Linked DNA regions of Caenorhabditis elegans. The protein of the gene in region 1 binds, or shares a complex with, the protein of each later gene. Each region holds a gene or a part of one and is shown in the gene's direction. Other genes may lie near its edges. The genes, in order: rtfo-1, leo-1, ctr-9 and pafo-1.

Region 1 (5,682 bases):
TTTGTTTTGATATCGAAAGTAATGTATATATTATTATTATTCAAGACTGAAAGTTAGAATTGAAAAAAAGAAAAAAAGGTACGGTCTGGAAACGAAACTTTGAAGAAAAGGGAAAAAGTTTGGAGCCATCCTTAACTTTTTGTCTTGGTACACTGTTTGCTCAGCAATAGAGATTGAACGGGAATGGTTTTTGGCAAGAAGAAATAGGTGAAGCACTCAATAAAAAATAATGTGTGTCTCTAAGAGATTCAGAGAAACATTCCTCTTGTGACGTGGCACTTCAAGCATTGAACAGAGTCATATCTTTTACTTACTCCAAGAAATTTTCAAGTTATCAAATCAGTTGAATGACTGTCTAAGTCTCTTTAATTTCAGTAATGTCTAGTACTAATCATTCGAGGTGTGGCATGATTGATTTGTTTCTTTTTATTTCATTTTGGTGATGAAGAGAAGAAAGAAAATAAATTAAAATCACCTAAAATTGAAGTCAAGTAGTAATCTTCCAATCGGCTGGCAGGTAGATGAGTAATCATGATGAGTTCTAATAAAGTAGTGAACGTTGCAGGCTCATAGCCATTTCAAATATTCAAATTTTCAATATTCATTCAGAATGCGTGATGAGAGGTACGTCGTCACGCAATACAATTGCCGGTTTTGTGAGAAGGAAGAGAGATCGATTAGAATGAAAGTGATATAGAGAGGAGAAACCACTTGGCTGGATAAACATGTACTTGATGGTTAGAACTGTCGGAAAAGCAAAATGGATTGTGTTCGAGAAAATATGAACATTTGGAAAGTTTTGAGTTCTGAAGCTTTAAAAGAATAATAAGATAAAATACGTTCACAAAGTCTTTTGAAATTTTATACGGGCAACTCGGACTGAAAAAGTTAGACAATCAATGTGAAATCGGGTTTTTTACAGAAAGTCTCTATATTTAGCGTTAAATTAAAATTGAATGTTACTAATGTGAACATTTGTTGAATTGGACATCAAGATTTTGTTTCGCAATTATTTACCGTAATCTTGAAGGCGCATATACAAATATATAGAGGGCCGTAAATTGATACGAGCTACAGTAACTCGTTGTCCGAGTGGCGAGACCCCTGCGAGTAAAGTATAACCAACATTAAAATATCTAAACGTCTGCGTTATACGGAATTTTTTATGTATTAAACACAAATGAGTCTCTCTTAAAAACTCGTAGAAAGAAAACATGCAGTATTTCAATAATCAGATAACTTACCAAAATTAAACTCTGCCTCAGCTGCTCCTCCATTGTGTCGATGGGATTCGAACCGCAAATTCTTCATTTTCTTCGAAAACTTCGCTTACTACTTCTACTAATTGTCGAATGGCAACAGGAAACACGAAAAGAAAGATTATCCTTTATTTCTGATTCTCTGTATCTCCAGGTCTACCTAAACACTTTAATAGAACAACTGTTCACTAAAGAGCATTTGATCTTTCTTTTTTCGTTTTTTCTTCTCTTACATCGTTTAACCTGGAAAAGGGGTTGTATTTCCGTAAGCCATCTACCCTTGTCTCTTCTTATGTTTTTTTCTTGATTAATGGTTTTTGAGAATACTGTGAGAGCATAAGAGATTTGAAAAACCTATAAGAACACTTCGGATTCCCACAGGATGGGCACTAAAGAATTAGTTTTTCTAAACTTCAGAAAATGGGAGTGTCTCTCAATTTCCTTATCGATTATAAAAGTGTTTGGTATTTATATATAAATCCATTAAATATACATAGCTTGCACCATGACCTACAGCAACAGAAGCCAATATCCCAATTGTGTGCGACAACCTTGCAAAATAGCGTGCGCGGCTTGCAAAGTGGGCGGGACTAAATGTATTGACACTGTGCAGTTTGAATGTAAAAATTTATTCTTAATTTTCGGTATTTTCTTTGGTTTTTCGTTATTATAATTGATTTTTAATGATTCTTTATTATTATCTTAATTCAAAGAGTAGAAAAACTTTATTGCACCCGTCCTTTTTGTTTCTCGAATCCAATATTGACACATTTTTTGAGAAACTTAAGTTTTTTCTTAATTTTTCGAATATTTTCGACAAAAACGCGCATATATCATTAAAAATATGACACTTTTCCTTGTTTCTTTTATTTGTTTAAATATTTGTATGAAACCTATTGTTCGTAGCCATCTTGCAACTGTGTGTCGATATCGATTTTCCCAGAACAAATGTCAGACGCTCTACATCACTTTTATACAACCGTTTCTTCTCACCGTTCTCTAATAATTTATTCAATTCATAATTATGTTCTCAGGGTCAGTTTAATCAACAATGTCTTCCTCTGAGAGTGCTTCATCAGACGAAGAGACAAAACGCCGTGCTCCAGCCACTTCAGATTCCGATTCTGACTCAGACGCAGGTCCAAAACCTGGAAAACCTCTCAGTACCGACTCCTCGGCATCCGATTCAGATGCCGAAAAACCACAGTGAGTTTTACTGTTTTCTATCCAAAAAAAAGTTATACGAGTTTCCATTTTCAGGGCAAAGCCTGCAAAAAAGAAGACTTTAACAAAGCGAAAGCGGCGAGCTACTGGAAGTAGTGACGATGACCAAGTAGATGATGATTTATTTGCTGACAAAGAAGACAAAGCAAGATGGAAGAAATTGACAGAATTGGAAAAGGAGCAAGAAATTTTTGAAAGGATGGAGGCTCGTGAAAACGCGATTGCTCGAGAAGAAATTGCTCAACAACTTGCTAAAAAAGCAAAGAAAAGTTCTGAAAAGGGAGTCAAAACCGAAAAACGAAGGAAAATGAACAGTGGTGGAAGTGATGCAGGTTCCCCGAAACGCAAAGCTTCATCGGATTCCGATTCTGAGATGGATGCTGCTTTCCACCGACCCAGTGATGTAAGTTTATTTTTTTATTTTTCAAATAAAAATTTTTATTCCAGATTAACCGCAAACATAAAGAGAAGAATGCTATGGATGCTCTGAAGAACAAACGTAAAGAGATCGAAAAGAAAAATGCAAAAAACGAAGCACTCTCTATCGATGCTGTTTTTGGAGCTAATTCGGGATCTTCAAGTTCGTCTAGTTCAAGCGAAAGCTCTCGTTCATCATCTTCTTCCCGCGAATCATCACCAGAACGTGTATCCGAAAAAGATAAGATAGTAAAGAAAGATGTTGATGGACTTTCGGAACTTCGAAGAGCTCGATTGTCCCGTCATAAACTTTCATTGATGATTCATGCCCCATTCTTTGATTCTACTGTCGTAGGATGCTATGTTCGACTTGGACAAGGGCAAATGAGTGGCTCAGGAAGCAAATATCGGATATGGAAGATTGTCGGTGTGGAGGAATCCAACAAAGTCTACGAATTGGAAGGAAAAAAGACAAATAAAATCATAAAATGTCAGAATGGTGAGTTGTTTATTTACTTGTGAAAATTTGAAATCTGTTACAACCTTAACTGCAGGTGGATCAGAACGACCATTCCGTATGCAATTCGTTTCAAATGCTGATTTCGAACAAATTGAGTTTGATGAATGGCTTCTGGCATGTAAGAGACACGGAAATCTTCCAACCGTCGATATTATGGATAAGAAAAAACAAGATATCGAAAAAGCAATCAACCACAAGTATTCGGACAAAGAAGTCGATCTGATGATCAAGGAAAAGAGCAAATATCAAACAGTTCCACGAAATTTCGCTATGACAAAAGCTAATTGGTCCAAGCAAAAAGAGCTGGCTCAACAACGAGGTGACATTCGAGAAGCCGAACAAATTCAAACTAAAATCGATGAGATTGAACGACAAGCTGATGAATTGGAGAAAGAGCGAAGCAAGTCAATTAGTGCGATTGCGTTCATTAACCATAGGAATCGATCAAAAATAAAGGACCAAGTCCTGAGTGGGCAATTGAAGATCGAAGAGAATTCACAGGATGATCCTTTTACACGTAAGAAGGGAGGTATGCGTGTTGTTTCTGGATCTAAATCAAGACTTGACGGAACTCTTTCCGCATCTTCATCAACCACAAATTGTAAGTTAATAGGAAATATCAATTTTTTGACATAACTTTATAATTTTCAGTATCTGACGGCGGAAAAGACAAAAGTTCATCATTGGCTAAACCGACGCAACCTCCTCCATCTACTCAAATAAAGAAAAAAACTGATATATCCAGTCTGCATGACTTTGATCTAGACATCGATTTGGGTAAATTGAAGGATTTTAGTACGCCGGAATCGTCAGGAAACAAACGTCCATCAATTAGTTCTTCCAAGTTAGCACATCTTATAGTGGACTATTTTAATTGCTATATTTTCAGAGGAGTGTCACTTAGTGATTATCGAATGCGTCGATCAGGAGGTGGTGACGCTGGATCCTCCACATCAGCTGCACCATCCTCAGCAGTTTGAACTGTCTTTTTCTACATCTCTTTGATTTTCTCAGCGTTACCCCCCTCATCCCTCATCGTTACGTTTTACTTATTTTCTTTCGTTTTATAAACTGATCAAAACTTGTTCAATTCCTTCATTATACTATTCCGTTCATTTTTTCCAATTTTTGAGAACACATTTTTTTAGCTTTTAATTTCGTCAGAATAAAATAAATCGTAATAAAGATAGCAATTGCAGAATGCAAGAAATGGAACATTTTATGAATCCTTCACCGTTTGTTTTAGATCTTTCCCACTCACTGATACTCCTCACCAATCCCAAACCTTTAATTTTAAATTTTCTATGTGATTCTATTGATTTTCACCCTCATTCATCTTTTCATGTTTTATTCCTTTTTTGATTCCTTGTGACTACTGTATTCCTAGGTTAACGGATGTAAACCAAAAATCTGTGTGAATTTTTTGAAACTTTTCTAATAATTTTTCGTGCAATTAATGAATAAACTCAAAGTTCTTTTCACGTTTTTATTCCATCTTTCAGGATTAGAAACCCGGTATACAGAAATGGTTTGGAATGTGAACGAAGAATTGTAATTTAACATCTTAAGCGCTACAGCTCTTTACTCGGCTTGGCTCGAAGAAATGAGCTTTTGCTCAGTGAGCATTGACAGGCAACAGGGAGCTGGAAAGGAAGGGATTAGATTATTTCGAGATTAATACAATAAGAGAAATAAGACAAACCTGGATTTGTTCAACAATCCAATCCTCACAATTATCATCCCCTGTGTTTCGTAGAACTTTGAATGAGAGGGTCTGAATGCCACATTGACCATGAGCTGGAAATATATTTCAATCACAAATTACATGTAATCAACGGACCCCTCAGTTGAAAAACGTAGAACGCTCTCATTACGTAAACGTCCAAATTGATCATTTTCGCCATACAATACGTACATGGGTCTCGCCACGCAGACATTGACATACAGTAGCTCGTGTCGATTTACGGGGCCTACATTGTCTCATGTTTTAAATATTAGACGAACAATTGCGCCAAGACTTTTTAATATGCAAATATGAGGCAATAGCGGATCATACGTCGGCACGAGCTACAGTATCTCCTTGCACTCGTGGCGAGGTCTCCCCAATCGGGCATCGTGTTACTGTAACTCTTGCTCATTTATCTTTTAGAAATACGGGTCTCCATTGCATAATATTTTTTATTGAAAAATCTTGTCAGCGATTTTGCTTTTAATTTGAAAAAAATACGATGCAGTAGCGGGAAATGAACACGAATTACACGT
Region 2 (4,777 bases), on another chromosome or scaffold:
TTCGAACGAGATCGTCGGCCAAATGAGGAAATTGATGCATTATGGGAACGAGCAAGAAGCAATGTTATCAAGTTAGTTTCTTTTTTGAATACATACAGTAGTCTTATATATTTATTCGGTGTAATTTCAGTTCTGCCGAAGAAGGACGGAGTCTTTACCGTACCTATGCTTTTTTGCTTCGCCGTCGAATTCATCTCACTGGTTCTTCGGATTACTCTCCAATGGCTGAAGTGTTTGATGAAGGTGCAGCGCTACTCAGAGAATGGTTTTCAATGGCTTGGGATACTACAGCAGATTATCGACAAATGCAAGCATATTTCTATGCTTCATTAATGAAGAACATGGACAAATGTCGAAATATCTGGAATGATATTCTTGCATCAGGATTCGGAAGATTTGCCGGAAAATGGATTGAAGCTGTTCGTCTTGAGCGACAATTCGGTGATAAAGAAAATGCTCGAAAATATCTAAACAAAGCTCTCAATTCTGTATCGGATAACATCAACGAAATCTATATGTACTATGTTCAATTTGAAAGAGAAGAAGGAACATTGGCTGAGTTGGATTTGGTTCTTGAGAAAGTGAATTCACAGGTTGCTCATCGAGCCATTCGACCACAAAAGAAAGTTTCTGAGAAACCAGCTCCAGCTCCTAAATCAAAGCAAGATCATATTCAGAAGAGAACGTCGGGAGGTGAACCAATTGTAAAAAAAGTGAAAGGAGACGACGGAGGTAAATAATTTTTAAAAGTAAAGAAGTTAATTTGAATTAAATTTTAGGATTCAAAGCTCCACTTCCACCATCCAATGCGAAAAGTTCATCAGCTGTATCCTCTTCAAATGCTTCGTCGACACCAGCTCCAGGTTCCTTTGCAGTTCAGAAAGCAGCTCCAGGAACGGAAGATGCTCGCACAATTTTTGTTTCTAATCTCGATTTCACTACGACGGAAGACGAAATTCGACAAGCCATTGAAGGTGTTGCTTCAATTCGATTCGCAAGAAAAGCGAATTCGGATCTTGTGCACAGAGGGTTCGCCTATGTTGTAATGGAGAATGATCAGAAGGCACAGCAAGCTCTCTTGAAAGATCGAGTTCCTGTGAAGGGAAGGCCAATGTTTGTAAGTTTTAATTTTACTTTATAAATATTTGTGAAATTTTAATTTCTGAAAATTCAGATCTCCGCCAACGATCCAGAAAAACGGGTTGGATTCAAATTCTCAACCACTCTTGAAAAATCGAAAGTCTTCGTTCGCAATGTCCACTTCCAGGCAACCGACGATGAGTTAAAGGTAATATATACTTATCTATCATTTTATATTCTAAATCGATACATTTCAGGCATTATTCTCGAAATTCGGTACAGTAACCAGTGTTCGACGCGTGACTCATAAAGATGGAAAACCAAAAGGAATCGCATTCGTAGATTTTGACACAGAAGCAAGTGCTCAAAAATGTGTTGCTTCTGGTGATAAATTGATGCTTCGAGAAAGAGAACTAGAGGTAGCGTTATCCAATCCACCAGTAAAAAAGGATAAATCGCATGGAAAACCAGCAGCAATTGGAGCAAGTTTGGAAGAAGATGGACCTAGAAAAGGACATGCTGCAAAACTGCAATTGGTTCCCAGAGCTATTAGTAAGTATATCATCTTTAGTTCCCAGCTTAGCATAAAAAAATCCATTTTCAGCAAACAAAACTCCTCAAATCACTGCTCGGCTGGACGCAATGGATGTTTCCGAAGGCACTTCAACGTCTCAGCCACTTTCAAATGATCAATTCCGTAAAATGTTTATGAAAAATTAGGGCCGTTTTTCACCAGAAACTTTCATTGTTCATATCAAGATTCATTTAGTTATTTAATTTCTATTACGTTCCCCAGTGTCTCCTTTCCAATTAAAATTCCGGTAGATGCTATTTTTGATGTTCTCGCTATAATTATATTTGTTCTTCACTACGAATTGCAAGATTTAGTTTCATAACTGTTCATAATCCTTGTTTTCTTTTTGTTTGCTAATAATTTGTAATAGAGATCCCCCAATATTCATTTTCAACTTATTGCCTATGGATAAGAAAATCTGAATTTTCAACAACTACTTTTATTATTCAATTTTTATCGGTATATTCGACCCCAAATTATTACTTTGTTTTGCTACTTTCGCTATTCAAAGAACTTAGGTATGCAATATTTTCAATTCAGATGTCATCTTCTGAGGGTAATTCTGACGCTTCTGCACCAGGAACACCAGTTAAATCGTAAGTAAATGGTAATTGTGTTTCTAAAATAATATAATTCAATTCAGATCAACTCCATCTTCTCGTGGATCGTCGCCAGATTCACCAAAAAAACAAGAACCGTCTAAGAAAAGAGCGATATTAAATGAGTCCGACGATGATGATGATTCTCGTCCTGCTCCTCGACAATTGTCCGATTCTTCTGACGATAACATTCATCCGAGAGGAGGAGGTGAAAAGAGTTCCCCCGGTGCTGGTGGTGGTTTGTTCGGTGATCTCTCTGGCTCTTCCGACGATGATTCCGACAGAGAAGGAAAGCCGAAAGAATCAAATACAAGAGCACGATTGTCAGATTCCGATGCGGAGAGTCGTGGAAGTTTGAATGATTTGCAAGGAATTGTGATGGCTAATCCAGATGAAATAGATGAAGATGAAAAAGCAAAGGAGCATGTTCATGATACTGAAGTAAACATTTTCAATGAAATAATGTGATTAAAACATTGATTTTCCAGATGGTAACAGGTCGTGTTACTTTGGAGTACGCTGCAGATCCACCACATTTTGTCAGAATGCCAAACTTTCTATCAGTCGCCACTCATCCATTTGATCCACAACATTACGAGGAAGACGAAGATGATGAGCAGGCGAAATTGGATGATGAAGGACGAACACGTCTCAAATTGAGAGTATGTCTGTGTTATAAATACATCTCATCAAATATACAATTTTTAAGGTGGAAAATACACTTCGCTGGCGAGTTCGCAAAGATGAAAATGGAAAAGAAATTCGAGAGAGTAATGCAAAAATTGTAAAATGGGACGATGGAACGTTAGTTTTCAATTGATGCAAAATTTCCATATCGTGACTTAATTTCAGAATGTCTCTATACCTCGGAAACGAAATTTTCGAAGTCTCATTGGTGCCGCTGAATTCCAATAATCTTCCCCATCTTTACGTTAAGCAGCCAACATTAATGGTATTTTGATTGTTAATGTTTTTATTTTAATCAAAATTTATGTCATTTTTAGTCGGCTCAAGCTGTTCTTACACATCGTATGACCTTCCGTCCTCACTCGACTGATTCCCAAACTCACAGAAAAGTCACACTCAATATGGCAGATCGAAGCAGGAAGAATGCTCAAGTTAAAGTCATGGACGATGTTGGTCAGAATCCGGAAATTACACGGCGTGAGAATGCCCGGAAGGAGGAAGAATCACTTCGTGCACACATCCGACGTACTCAGATGGTTCGGAATAACTTTAAAGTTCGTGGTCCGAGATATGCAGGACAATATTCTGATGATGAAGATATGCCAACGTCATCCAGAAAAGGAAAGAAGAAGGAAGCACCAATTATTGGTAAGTTCAATTTAATTTTGATTAGGACTTTACCAGAATAAAGAAACTGTACTACAATAATATATTTCAGGTGCCAGCTCAGAAAGTGAGGACGATCATGCGGATACCACAAAGAAAAGCGGATCGGATAGCGATTCTGATGAAGAGTACCGAAAGAGAAAACAACAACAAAAGAAACAGATTGTCACCAGTGACGAAGAATCTGACTAAATTTATTTCAATTTTGATCCTCACAATTTTATATTTCGCGAATTCAATATTTCTCCCTTTACAATATTTCGAAAATGTTTTCCTTTCCTTATTTATTTTAGTCTTCGATATTTCGAGATAATGAAACATCCACAATATTATGAAAAACCGAGCTTTTATTTCTTAATTTCAATCAGATTGTATGTAATATTTAAAATCATACATCCACTACGTCTTCCTCGCTTCTCAAAGAATTGGCATCAAGTGTCGTATCATAAATTCTGAAACTTGAAATAATCTACGATTTCAGAATTCTCAAAATCAAACCTCCGTGTTTTATCGTTTTCCATTGCTCTTGGGGAAATCGATACATTTAATATCAACTGAGCTTCTTCTTGATTTCCAGAGCTTCTCGATCGCAGTAAAAACATCAATATAATGATTTGAAAGAAGATTCCATAAATTAAAATTCGAAAAACTATAGGTTTTGACTTTTGATTCCAGAGTATTTTAAACATCTTTGTGGAAAATGTAGGAAATGATTTTTCACGTTTGATAAAGAAACTGACTAATAAATTTTTACATCTAACAACAAATCTTTGAATCAATCATATTATAATATACACGGAACCACTATGTCCGAAAGATTTAAAATTTAAAAAAATTGAAATTGAAAAAAGTATTCATTGAATATTAAAATGGATTTGAGGATATTTGTGGCCCTAAAGAGGGCCGTTGGGTTCGGTTAAGTTTTGAGATTAAGCTTGCTCAACTACCAAAAAAGGTATTTAAGCGCGCTCTCCTCGGATGCGTCTGGCCAATTGGATATCCTTTGGCATGATGGTGACTCGCTTAGCGTGGATGGCACACAAGTTGGTGTCCTCGAAGAGTCCGACAAGGTAAGCCTCGGCAGCCTCCTGAAGAGCCATGACAGCGGAAGATTGGAATCGAAGATCGGTCTTGAAATCCTGAGCAATCTCACGAACAAGGCGCTGGAATG
Region 3 (8,116 bases), on another chromosome or scaffold:
TGGAAGTTGAAGGCCATTTCCAAGTCAAGTCCAACGAACTCGGTCATATGACGATGGGTGTTAGAATCTTCAGCACGGAATACTGGACCAATAGTGTAGACCTTTTCAAAATCTCCGGCAATAGCCATTTGCTTATAGAGTTGTGGAGATTGAGCCAAGTAGGCGGATCCTTTGAAATAGGAAACTTCGAAAACATTGGCTCCACCCTCACTTGGCGCAGAGATAATTTTTGGAGCCATGATCTCCACGAATCCTCTAACATCGAGAATGTTTCTGAACTGATTACAAATTCCGGCTTGAATTCTGAAGATAGCATGAGAGGTTGGCGTACGAAGATCGATGACACGGTTGTCAAGTCTTGTATCGAGATTAACAACAGCCAATTGATTCTCCTGCTCGCTGGCTTTCTCTTCGTCAGTTGGTGCTCTGCGTGATGCATCCTCAATTTGGAGCGGAAGCTTTGGAGCAGAAGTTGAAACGACAAATACTTGTTGAGCAAGTAGTTCGACATCCTTTTGTGTGCAAGATTCAATTGGATTGTCAACCTTGTTGATAGTAGCATAAACGTCAACAATAGACTCCTTTGAGATAGAAGAAACAAACTTCAACATTTGCTTGCTAATCTTTTCGTTCATAAACATTGCTACTTGAACGGTGTAGACTCCCTGACGGAGAACGAGGAAGCAATTCTTTCCCTTCGATCGAGTAGTGTGAATGCGCCCACGGACCCAAACCTACAAAAATGTGAATAAGATGAGCATATCCTCTGTTAAAACTCACGTCTTTTGTTGCGTTGGAAACGTTGATCTCCTTGACTTTCAGAAAGTTCAACACCTTCTTTTCCTTAGAGTTAACAAGCCCATATGATCCATAAAAGTCTTTGGATGCGTCTTCTTGGTCCATAGCGGCAGCCTGTTGTTGGTTTCCTCCTTTCTGAATTTATATTGCTTAGTTGCGAAATATTTCAAAATAGCATTTGAGGTTATAGAAAATTATTTACTTTAAAAATAAATAGCTCAACAGAATTTTCAATAACTCTATAAATTTAGACTAAACCCTATTTTAACGAGCATAGTTAACAAAATCTCACCTCTCCAGCTTTCTCATCTTTCTTAGCTTTTCTAGCAAGCTTATTGAGCTCCTTCTTGGAGAGTTTTGGTTGTTCACCTTCGGCAGCATCAGCCATTATCACCTGAAACAAATTAGCATCTATAAAACCAATGAAAAATTAAATTTTAGCTTGAAAATAAGGAATTTGTTTACAATTTGGGCTGAAAATGATGAAGTGTGTATGCGCGTCAGTTCTGATGTTTGTGCTCTCTGCGTACAATGCGTTACACTTCACGCGCATCGCGCCTCGTTCGAAAAGATATTTTTTGCATCCTGTTTTTCTCAATTTCTTCTTGAATTTCAAAGTTAAACGTTATTTAATCTTTATATTTTATTCATTTGCTTATTCTTTTTGTAAGAATTAAAGTGAGTTTATCATAAATCCATGATTTATTCTGCATCAGCGCTTGGAAAGTCTACTACCACGTTTAATCTTTAAAATTCCCAATCTTGGGTACTATTACTTGAATATTTGTCAAGAAAGATCTAATTTGTGTTTTTTACAGGTCAGAAAGTCCAAGGAGATGGACGAAAGTATTGATGATGTGCAAGAGACCAGAACAATCGCTATTCCATTGAAAGACAGTCACGAAGATGTAAGTTTTTGTTTCAAAAGTGTTCATAATTTCAAAAATCGATCGTTGTTGTTTCTTAGTGAGGAAATTTGGGAATATTGATTCATCATGTCGGTAGGACTTTCAAATTTCGAATTTATTTCAGCCAACCGACTTGATTTATCGATATTTTTGAATTTCAGGGTACGCACTTAAAACGTCTCCGCCGTTTCTCAATCGAAGTCTGGAATTTAATGCAAAACTGGGCGACAGCTTCTGAAAAATCAGTCCAATATTTGGAATCATTAGTTAATTCACGTCTGAAACTGCTATATTCGCGAGAAGTTGATGTAGAGGAGTCTGCAAAACTAACAAAAGATCAATCTGATCGTGTTCTCAATGAGATTGTTGTTATGAATTCAAAACTGAATCAAACTATGAGTGATTTTGAGAAAGTTATTGGAAAATTCGAAGTTGCACAAGGACGAATGTCAGCTTGGAAGCAATTGACCGAAAAAAGTCAAAATATTGAAGAAAAGTACATTGTGGAGACCCTTGACGAGAATTTGCCGTTAATAATTACAATGCTTAAGAAAGAATTGAAAGTGAAGCAAGACGTGCTCTTCGATTTCGCTCAAAATGACAGCCGGGACGTATTTACTCTTGTCCTTCTCACATTTAAACATGAACCATTTGTTGATGTCGCCCTTCTTTCCAAATTATTCGCATTAGTGGCCTCCGAAGCACAATGATCGATTTTTATTAAATATTATATTGTTTAAAAAAAACGTTTTTTATGTTTGTTCGTGAAATAAAATCTTGAAAAATTAATTTTCTGAATCAAATAATGAAAAACTTATTCAGGAAGTAATTGAAATCAACTGCTCCGAGCTCCCCGATGGCGAAGAAGTCCTTCAAATTTTGGAAGCAGAAGAAGCAAAGTTATCGTATTGGATTGAAGTTGCTCTCGAATATTACAGACAAGATCGTGTTGATCTATTCATGATGATTCTAGAATCTGCTGGATCTCGTGCTGGATTGGAGTATGAAGGAGTAAAACAGGATCAAATGAGAGCATTGGATATACTTGCTGCCTACTGGATGACTCAAGGTTACAGAGAGAAGGCCAAGGACAAGAAAAGTGATTTCTTCTCGAAAGCTACAGTTCTTTTCAACACAGCCGATAAAATTGCGATGTATGAATGGTCTCACTTGACAGTTCGTGCTTGGTTTTATCTTTTTGAACGAGATAAAAGTACAAACAAGTATGAACTTGCTGATCAACAATTCAATTATGTCGTTAAAACCAATCCGAAGAATGTGCTCCCGTTGATTGGAAAAGCTGTAATCGCATTCAATAAAAAGGATTATAAAACTGCAATCTATTACTTTCGAAAAGCAATTCGACAATGTCGTCACACAATCGCAGATCTTCGAGTCGGAATCGGTCACTGCTTCGCTAAAATGGGAATGATGGACAAAGCGAAAACGGCATTCGAAAGAGCCATGGAAATTGAACCATATAATGTATCGGCCATGTGTGGTTTGGGAATTATTCTGTTGAACACGTACGACCATGACAGCCTCAAACACGCAGTCAGTTTGTTTGGAAGATCTTATAATTTACAAACTGATCATCCAGTTGCTCTTATTCATCTTGCTAATCATTTCTTTTTCAAAAAAGAAATTGAGCGTGCATGGACACTTGCCTGGCATGCAGCAACGTATAATGATTGTGATTCGATAAAAGCTGAAGCTTTCTATCAAATGGGAAGATGCAGGCATGCACAAGGGCAATTTGACGGTGCTTATAAGGTTTGTTTTTGAGTTTTCAAATCATAAACTAAAAATATAAAATTAAAAACTCGAAAGAAACCCCGGAATTTTGTCATTGAATCCTGAAAGCAATCGAAAAATCAAATGATTTTTATGTTAAAAAAAGCTTCAGAAAAAATGCACGGAAATATTCTAGAATTTTGAAATTTTCTTATTTCGTGTCTCGAAAGACATTGCTCTAAATTCTCAAAAAGTCCTTTTTTTTTAAGTTTCATATTTTTCCAATTTACGAAAGCTTCGACTGAAAATATTCAAAAATCTACCTAAAATTTTTGTGTTTTGGCCATTTTGGAATATTATACGTGTAAAATCCTACTTTCAGTACTACTACCAAGCTCGACAAGCAAACAATGGAGAGCACACCCTTGCTCACTATGGACTTGGTCAAATGTACATTCATCGAAATGAAATTGAAGAAGCAATCAAATGCTTCGATACTGTTCATAAACGATTGCCAAACAATACAGACACGATGAAAATTCTTGGAAGTCTATATGCTCATGTTCAGCTAAACGATCCGGCACAAACAGCAGAAGCACGGCAAAAGGGACGGGATGTTCTTGGAAAATATCTGGCAGTTGAAAATGATGACTATGAAGCATGCATCGACTTGGCTCAACTTCTCGAAGCAACAGATCCAAAACGATCTCTGGAATTGTATGAAAATGCAATCGACTTGCTTGTAACAAATGAGAGTATTCAACCACAACCCGAAATGCTCAACAACGTCGGTGCTTTGTATATGTCAATGAAGCAATATGAAAAAGCTGAACATCACTTCAAAAGAGCTAAAGAACGTCTTGAAGAACAATTGAATACTGATGAAGGGTCTCTACTTTTAGAACGTAGAAGTGCTCCTGAAAAATCGCACCTTCTCACAATTCGTTACAATTTGGCTCTGTGCTTGGAGCATCTTTGTCGTACTGTTGAAGCCGAACAAATGTACAAGGATATTGTGAAAGAATGTCCTGGATATATTGATGGATATCTTCGTCTTGGATGTATCACTCGTGATCGTCATCAAGTCTATGAATCGTCTTTGTGGTTGAAACAAGGCGTTCAATTTGATCAAGCATCACCAATTGTTTGGACTCTTATTGGAAATCTTCATTTTGCAAAGAATGAATGGATGCCTGCCCAGAAGAAGTTTGAATTCATTTTGTCGAAGATTTTCAACAACAAAATTCCTGATCCATACTCGCTGGTAGCTCTTGGTAATGTGTGGTTCGAGCAGCTTCTCAATCCATCAAGGAAAAAGGAAGATGTAGGTTTTTTATTGCTTTATCACTTGCATTCTGAAATTTATTCATATTAAATTTTATAATCGATACCATTTTGTACTTAACTATTAAAGAATGAACAATATATTTAATTTTTATTTTCAAACAATTTAATAATATTTTGTTTCAGGAGAAAAAGTACATTGACCGAGCTCTCCAAATGTATCAAAAAGCATTGAAACTTCAACCAAAAAACATGTATGCTGCAAATGGAATCGGATGTGTGCTTGCTTATAAAAGAAACTGGAATGATGCTCGAGATGTTTTCAGTCAAGTTCGCGAGTCTACCAGTGAATTCTACGATGTCTGGCTCAATATAGCTCACGTTTGCATGGAACGAGAGCAATGGATGGCTGCTGTTCAGATGTATTCGTCTGCGATGAAAAAATTTCGAAAGGAGAATGACTCGACATTGCAACACTATCTTGCAAAGGCCTATTACCGAGCAAATATGTTGAATGAAGCCAAGGAAGCACTTGAATGTGCAATGCTTGATCAATTGGATAATACCCAATTGAAATTTAACTATGCTATTGTATTGAAGAAATCTGCAAAAGAAGTACTTCGAGGTCACAAAATGACATCAGAACAAGTGACTGCGGCTATAGATGATCTCAAATTCGCCGACAAAATTTTCCAATACATCTCTAAAAATGATGATCGTCAATCGAGCCATACTGGAATGCGAATATCGAGAACAATCTGCGCAGAAGAAGCTAAAAATTGCAAGGATTTGTTAACTCAAGCAAAGCATAAATTAGCAGCTGCACAGACTCAAGATGAAGAAGAACGTCGTCTTATGGAGAAGCAAGAGAAAGAGAAGATAGCATTGCAGAACAAGATGATTGAGGAAGCTCGTGCTAAGGAAGAAGCTGAAAAACAGAAGCTCGAAGATATGAAGAATCTTAGATTATCATTCATAGAAATGACAAAAGATGTTCTCAGACTTCCAGAAATTGTCGAAGAAAAGAGAAGAGGAGGTGGTGGACGGAAACGACGAAATGATGATGGTGATGAGTTTGTTAATGATAGTTCTGATGCTGGAAATTATGATGGAGAGGAAGGAGGTGAAGATGGTGAACGAAGAGAACGAAGGAAGAAGGATAAGGCAGCAAAGAAGGCATCCAGGAAGAAGAGAGAACGTAGAGATAGTGGTGGACCTGATTCGAACAGAAGAGATGAGAAAAAGAGAAAGAGGAAGGAAGAGAGGGATCGAAAACTACAGGAGAAGCTCTCAGCAAAACAATCAGCAAAGATAAAATCTCGTGCATTCTTATCTTCATCGGAATCTTCTGATGATGACAAACCAAAGCCTGCTGCTGATTCATCGGATGATGAGGTTGATCCGCGGCCGCCAGTTGATGAGTTTGGTTAGTTTATTGATTTCTGATTTTCAAAAAATTCCATTTTTTGCAGATAGTCCAACCCGAACTGACAGTGATAGTGATCGTGAGACAACTACAAAAAAGAAAAAGAAGAAGGCTGTTGTGGATTCTGATGAAGGATCAGTCTCCGGATCTGGCTCTGGATCGGATAATGATGATAAGCCAATTATTGGAGGTTCTGATGGTAATCATAGATTTGAAAAAAAAAACGACAACCGAGGATGTCGCCTTCTGAAAATACCTGATTATTTCAAATATCTCAAAATCGAAAAAAATACTAATATTTTTATTTTGAAAAATATTAATCAAAAAACGAAAATTTTTCGATTTTTAGTTTTATTCAGTTTTTATTCAGTGATAATCGGAAAAAACTTCAAACAATGTTTGGAACATTTGAAAATATTAAATTTTAAACATTTTTTCGAAATACCTGAAATCGCAAAAAAAAAAGAAAAAAAAACACTTACAAATTTTTTAAAGGAAAATTACAAACCATTTCAAAATTGTACTAAAATTTAGACTATTATCGCACAAATGAAATTTTTTCAAATTTTCGGAAAATCGTATACAAAATGTTGAAATTTTCAGATGATGATGATGATAAACCTGCTGGTGGAAACTCCAGGGACAGTGATGGAAGTGATGCTCCGAAAAAGAAGGTTATCGAGAGCGACAGCGACTGAACCAATTTTTTTTAAATTTAAAGTTTTTATTTATTTTTGTTGTTCACAAATGTTTTATTTGTACTCTTTGTAAATCTAGCATCTTGTGCTCGTTCTCACAATACATTCTCCCGTTTTTAATCACCGAGTCCAAGACTTTCAATCTTTGACATGAATTCATTTATCAAACAAATAATGGTACCTGTGAGTTCGTTTTCGTTAGTCGCAGAGTTTTCGATTACAATTTGAGACCAGTTTTCGTGAGGAGCGAGGGCATTTAGGACTAGAAGGAGGGAGCAAAGAAAGCATGAAACAATAGGACGAATTAAAGAATACGAGATAGCAAGAAATATAAAATAATTGGAAGATAAAATGTAGAATAATAATAAGAAGAAGATCCAATTGGTTGAGATTGTGTAACTGGAGGAAGGGATGCTGTCGTTGTTTCCAAAATACGTTCTTCCACAATTCCTGAATAATTTAACGTTTATTGGGGTTTTGAAGATAAGTGAAGCATATTACACAACAATTGCAATTTTTGACGCAAAAATACGGTACCCGGTCTCGACACGACAAAGTTTTGTCAAATACAAACTGGGGTCTTCAAAAAGCACTGTAATTTGAAATTTTCGTTGTTGTGAGTTTTTCTCACGATTTGGTTAAATTTACGTTTTTTTTTAAATTTAAGCTTCCATAATGGAGTTATTCAAGTAGTGTCGGAAAGTTGAAAAGTGTAGAAAAATTACGTCACAACTGTATAAAAACATGTATTTTTATACATTTGTGACGTCACAAATGTATTTAAATACATTTTTCTACATTACTTGAATAACCCCATAACGATAAAATATGAAAAATTCATGAAAATTCATTTTGGTTTTGAAAAAGGCGTGTCGAGACCGTGGAACAAAAATCTCAAAATTTCGCGTCGAGGTTAATACCGGAAAGCATTGAGAAGCATGCATTGGACAATTTTTAGGAGGAAAATTCATTTAAATTTTATTATAAGGACGCAGCCCATAAACGTTGGGTCTCGTTAGGTATTCGACGGCAAAATTCTGAATTTCGTTTTATCAATTTAAAAATAAAGAAACTACGGAAAACATGTTAAAAATAGGAAAAATGATTACAAGCGAGTGATATCTGCAAAAATAATTGAAAACGTTTGAATTTCTGGTTTTGCCGCCAAAACATAACGAGGCTCAACGTTTAGGGGCGGAGCGTTTTCAGTTCACCGTGTAGAGCGCTTTTACGTATTCATTTATTCTACGTCCCCATAATACAGTTTT
Region 4 (4,701 bases), 1.9 Mb from region 1:
TGAACCATTCCTGGACAAATTCCAGCTGTTAAAATATGATCATCTTTTAGATCAATTGAGAGAGTTTTTGTAAACTGATTCACCGCACACTTCGTCATTCGATATGCCATTGCTTTATATTCACCAGAACCACTGGTATTTTCAGAAATTGAACCAAGAAATTCGGATGCAATATTAATGATTGCACCACGAGAAACGGAAAGTGTATCGCCTTCCTGTCGTTTCGAAGCTTTGATTATGAGTGGTACAAGGCTTTGTGTAAGCATCATTGGACCAATTGTATTTGACTCAAACAAATCCAGAACAACTTTTCGATCAGGTTTTTGTTTTGTTACATATGGAAGCATCACAGCTGCATTATTTATAAGAAGAGTTAATCCAGATTCTCCAACAATTTCAGACACTTTTTCAGCAAAATTTGCAATTGATTCATCGGATCCGAGTGAGAGTTGAAGAATGTGAAGTCGTGGATCACAAATTCCCTTGAGAGCCTGAAAAATTGGAAATTAAGAATGCCGTAGTCCAATACATGTTGTTGGGAAATTTTTACCATATACAAATATTAGGAACACAAACCTAATACAAATAACTATAATCTCAGCAACGGATAAAGTATAAATAAACTCGAAAAAACTTACAGTTGCCTTATCAACATCTCTTGCAGTCGCAATGACATGCTGAACATTTGGATCTTTCAGAAATTGTTGAACTAATCCAAATCCCAATCCTCGATTGGATCCGGTTACCACAACTGATTTTGGAGACATTTTCACTAGAATTTAAGCATAGAATTGAATTAACAGAAATCGAAAATCAATGAATGATGATTATTATTTCTTATCAATAGTATTTCTCTTCTGTTCTGCAAAATAAACAGCGTGATGAACTGCCACAATAATTAGTTTGGTTTATTGCAGTTTTTAGTTTATTTCGGAATTTCTGAGAAGAGATCAAAGAATTAGACAATGAAGAAAACTATGATAATTTCGATTTTGGTTAATACAGTTTTGCTCTTCAATCAAGTGTTGGTTGCGAACGGGGAAAATGTGAATGTAGGTTTACACAGGAGATGTTATAAAGGACTTTCCTTGGTTCTATTCCTGAGCTTTTCCAGTTGTCCCTGGGAAATTTTCTTTCAAATATTTTTAATGAAAGAGAAACGATAGACAAAAAAAGATAGACAAAAAACTAGGCGCAATTTGTTTTGCTATTGTTATGTTTTTGTAGGTTATGAGCAATTTCAAAATAAGATCTTTCTAGAAAATTGTAAAAATATTATTTCATTCAAGGTATCCTGCCCAATTTTATCCCGAACTCGACACAAAGAACTTCGAACTTTCATGTACAAAAACTGCACTTCCGGTTTCAAGACATGCTTTCAACAAATTATGCTCACTGAAATCGTTCGAAATGAGCAACACGCATTTCTATTTGCCTCTGGTTGTGCTTCGAAGGAAATTCTCAAGCCATTCAATCTAACCGAGGAAACATTCATGAAGTTATGTGACAAGAAAAAAGTGGGACGATGTGTTCATACATACCAGCATCGAGTTTATTATGGTACACTCTGCTGTGAAAGGAATTCGGAAAAAATGTTCGGATCTTGGCTGTGGGATGTTTTCTTTGGAAGTAGTGAAGAGCTAAATGCTGAAATGGAGAATACTGTTAGCTTTGTTCAGCGTGAAAGTATCGGAATGCACGATGATCATGATAATGTAGGCTTTAAAAGTTCACAACCCCACATTTATATAATTTTCCAGAAAGGAGCATTGGCTCTCTACATTGCTGGACCATTCATTGTCACCTTTATATTTACATTATTGTCCCTTTTACAATATTATCATGTTAATGATGGCATTTTGTCATAAAATAAATATTATCGTGACGAGAACGCTGGAAATTCACAAAACAAAAAATACTTTTTGAACACCCGCGCAAAACTGGTTATGCGCCATTGTTCCCTGCTGACGCGCATTGAGCGCTTGCGCAAAACCCGTGTGTGAGAGTTTGAATTTAATTCCCTCGGTGACTAGTTTTTTCGATTTGCAGCCGTTTCTGCCGATTGGTATCTTAATATTATAACTAAATTACTATAAAAAATGCCCCAAGAATCCTCAGATGCCAAAAGGATTGAACCTCCGTAAGTATTATTGTTTTGAATCGCTAGAAAAGTTTTGAAAACATTTTGCAGACGAAAAGTGGATTTCATGCTGAAACCTCGATTTACCAATACTGTTCCTGATGTCCCATTTGATGCAAAGTTTATGACTTGTCCATTTGTTCCTCTGGGAAGGTACACCAATTTTGAAACGTTTGACATTGTTCAATATCTCTGAATTTAGATTTGTCGAATTCCAACCTGCTGCCATTTATCGAGATTACAAGCATGCAGTCATTTGTGACGACGACATGGGTTTGAATGTCGATTTGATTGATCTAAAAAAATACGACGAAGATCCAATCGAAACTGTAGGTTTTTTCCTGAAATATACAGTTTCAAAGATAGAAATGTTTCACTTTTAGGAAATTGATGAGAAAGACAATATTTTACTGGAAGATGATGGCGCCGCTAAATTGATTGCAAAACGATCTCAACAGCATTCTAAACTTGTTCCATGGATGAGAAAAACCGAGTACATTTCAACTGAATTCAATCGGTTCGGTGTGACAGCCGATAGACAGGAGACGAAGCTTGGTTATAACTTGAAGAAAAATCAACAAGTTGAAGATATGTATCGTGACAAGCAGAGTCAAATTGATGCCATTAACAAGACATTTGAAGATGTAAGTACCAGAATATATTTTTTTGATTTAAATCTACTTTTGCGTATTTTAGGTTCGTAAACCCGTCAAGGAGCATTACTCCAAGAAGGGTGTAAAAGCTGTTGAAGAAAGCTTTGTCTTCCCTGATTTCGATCACTGGAAACACCTCTTTGCTCATGTACAATTTGATGGAGACACTATAACAACAGAATTCGAAGAAGAAGATGAACGACAACAAGCACGGGAGAGCAGTGTTATTAAAGCCATGGAATTCGAAGATCAAAAATTTGCAGCAGTTTTTGTTCCAACGATTGGATGTCTTACGAGTTTTATGGATGATCTTGAGTTAGAACGACCATTTGATGAGGATATGAAGTACGAATTCTTGCTAAGCCGTGAATACACATTTAAAATGGAACACTTGCCACCAAGGGATCGTGACGTCTTCATTATGTATCATCGTAATAACGTTTTCCAGTACAACGAAGTTGACTGTAATGTCAAGATGACAAGAAAACCAAAAATGGCATTGAGCAGAAAATCCAAATTGACACTCACATACCGAAATCCTTCCGAACTGGAACAAAAAGACATGAATAAAAGAGAGGCTGAGTTATACGAACAGCCAAAGACCAGAAAACAAGAGATTCTGGAAAAGATTCAAGAGAAGAAAGAAGAAGGTGGTGAGTAAATTTAAGTTTTGAAGTGTTATTTTCCACGCGAACATGCAATTTTTCAGGAGACAGTTCAGATCAGAGCAGTGATTCTGATGACGACAAGCCGCAGAAATCACGATCTGATAGCTCTTCGGACGTTTCATCAGATGACGATTCACCACGGAAAAAGGAACCGACTGTTGACAGCGACAGTGATTGATCTCAAATTTTTAAAATTGTTTTTCTATTTATTTTACCTAATCAAATTGGTTTTTCTCAGTAAACTTGATAACGATTTCAACTATTTGTTCGATTGATCTTCATGAATCTTCGCTAAAAGTGCAAGTATGATTTGACTCACAATTGAAGAAAAAACCAACAGCGGAAACACCAACACCCGCAAAGTTCTGTTTGTGTAGGTGTCTGTTGCTTGCGCTTATGTGCTCCACGTTCTATTCTTTGATTTGTCATGCGGAAGCAACAGGATCAGAGGGCAAGACGTTTAGTTTTGGGGGAAATTCGAACTACCGTTCTGATTGGAATGCGTATTGCGAAACATTGAATATATCCCGTAGCGAAAACTACAGTAATTCTTTAAATGACTACTGTAGCAATAGATTTTCGAAACTACAGTGCATTTTTTTTCCACTTCTACGACTTTAAAGGCGCGCGTATTTATACAAAATGGTCCCGTCATTGGTCTCGCCACGCGCTCAACAAATCAAAGGGATGCGCGTGGCGAGACCATTGCGCGAAAATGCGCGCGCCTTTAAAGTCGTAGAAGTTGTAAAAAAAGCACTGTATTCCAAAAGAAATTCATTTCAAAATTCCAGCCCGTAAATCGACACAAGCACTACAGTAGTCATTTCAAGAATTACTGTAGTTTTCGTGATACTTTGAGCGTCAAACATGTTACGCAATATGGATTCTCATAATTTTTTGTTCCCGGAATAAGAAAGTTTTCTGGGGACAGAAACACATTTAAAAAAGTACAATTATGGAACTATTGGAATGGAAATCCGTTCAATTTGTCAAAATATGAAAATAGTTTTCAATGCCACCGTTCACAGATCCTCATCATTATCATGATATTTTGGCATAACATTAATATTACCAGTTTCTGTTTCTTCCGCAACACGCCGCTTGTTGTAGCTTTCTCTCTCGGCTCTTTTTGTGTGTGCCTGTCTGTGGGTGGGGGTGGGTGTGTGTGTGTGCTTACAAAAACTTCAACAAAACTGCCTCGATGCTTCTACCAACACCCGCGCGAGAGGCTTCCCCCAGT

What was found.
Region 2: rtfo-1 (region 1) and leo-1 share a complex: the UniProt entries of both Caenorhabditis elegans proteins name them as parts of the PAF1 complex.
Region 3: rtfo-1 (region 1) and ctr-9 share a complex: the UniProt entries of both Caenorhabditis elegans proteins name them as parts of the PAF1 complex.
Region 4: rtfo-1 (region 1) and pafo-1 share a complex: the UniProt entries of both Caenorhabditis elegans proteins name them as parts of the PAF1 complex.

What each region holds. Positions count from the first base shown.
Region 1 is NC_003283.11:9,579,256-9,584,937, reverse strand, and holds rtfo-1 (RNA polymerase-associated protein RTF1 homolog), read left to right. Parts: upstream 1-2,293; 5' UTR 2,294-2,310; coding exon 2,311-2,465; intron 2,466-2,519; coding exon 2,520-2,886; intron 2,887-2,930; coding exon 2,931-3,399; intron 3,400-3,454; coding exon 3,455-4,021; intron 4,022-4,071; coding exon 4,072-4,264; intron 4,265-4,309; coding exon 4,310-4,400; 3' UTR 4,401-4,897; downstream 4,898-5,682. Other genes in the region: F25B3.2 (CTCK domain-containing protein), read right to left, coding at 4,992-5,063, 5,123-5,217. UniProt on the Caenorhabditis elegans protein: Component of the PAF1 complex which is a multifunctional complex involved in transcription initiation via genetic interactions with TATA-binding proteins, elongation and transcription-coupled histone modification.
Region 2 is NC_003282.8:11,326,787-11,331,563, reverse strand, and holds leo-1 (RNA polymerase-associated protein LEO1), read left to right. Parts: upstream 1-2,194; coding exon 2,195-2,250; intron 2,251-2,297; coding exon 2,298-2,694; intron 2,695-2,741; coding exon 2,742-2,915; intron 2,916-2,962; coding exon 2,963-3,057; intron 3,058-3,105; coding exon 3,106-3,205; intron 3,206-3,257; coding exon 3,258-3,588; intron 3,589-3,658; coding exon 3,659-3,798; 3' UTR 3,799-3,943; downstream 3,944-4,777. Other genes in the region: sart-3 (Spliceosome associated factor 3, U4/U6 recycling protein), read left to right, coding at 1-71, 131-732, 780-1,117, 1,175-1,288, 1,338-1,632, 1,685-1,800; B0035.21 (Kinesin motor domain-containing protein), read right to left, coding at 3,995-4,058, 4,105-4,208; his-45 (Histone H3), read right to left, coding at 4,566-4,777. UniProt on the Caenorhabditis elegans protein: Component of the PAF1 complex which is a multifunctional complex involved in transcription initiation via genetic interactions with TATA-binding proteins, elongation and transcription-coupled histone modification.
Region 3 is NC_003281.10:9,490,024-9,498,139, forward strand, and holds ctr-9 (RNA polymerase-associated protein CTR9), read left to right. Parts: upstream 1-1,616; 5' UTR 1,617-1,634; coding exon 1,635-1,706; intron 1,707-1,867; coding exon of another isoform or gene 1,868-2,416; exon of another isoform or gene 2,417-2,495; intron 2,496-2,528; coding exon 2,529-3,479; intron 3,480-3,822; coding exon 3,823-4,764; intron 4,765-4,910; coding exon 4,911-6,150; intron 6,151-6,196; coding exon 6,197-6,349; intron 6,350-6,753; coding exon 6,754-6,848; 3' UTR 6,849-7,021; downstream 7,022-8,116. Other genes in the region: dars-1 (Aspartate--tRNA ligase, cytoplasmic), read right to left, coding at 1-734, 781-933, 1,091-1,186; sod-4 (Superoxide dismutase [Cu-Zn]), read right to left, coding at 7,153-7,298. UniProt on the Caenorhabditis elegans protein: Component of the PAF1 complex which is a multifunctional complex involved in transcription initiation via genetic interactions with TATA-binding proteins, elongation and transcription-coupled histone modification.
Region 4 is NC_003283.11:11,519,667-11,524,367, forward strand, and holds pafo-1 (RNA polymerase II-associated factor 1 homolog), read left to right. Parts: upstream 1-2,036; 5' UTR 2,037-2,099; coding exon 2,100-2,140; intron 2,141-2,191; coding exon 2,192-2,293; intron 2,294-2,342; coding exon 2,343-2,469; intron 2,470-2,523; coding exon 2,524-2,784; intron 2,785-2,836; coding exon 2,837-3,446; intron 3,447-3,502; coding exon 3,503-3,639; 3' UTR 3,640-3,718; downstream 3,719-4,701. Other genes in the region: C55A6.7 (DeHydrogenases, Short chain), read right to left, coding at 1-491, 639-767; C55A6.11 (uncharacterized protein), read left to right, coding at 966-1,052, 1,290-1,715, 1,761-1,868. UniProt on the Caenorhabditis elegans protein: Component of the PAF1 complex which is a multifunctional complex involved in transcription initiation via genetic interactions with TATA-binding proteins, elongation and transcription-coupled histone modification.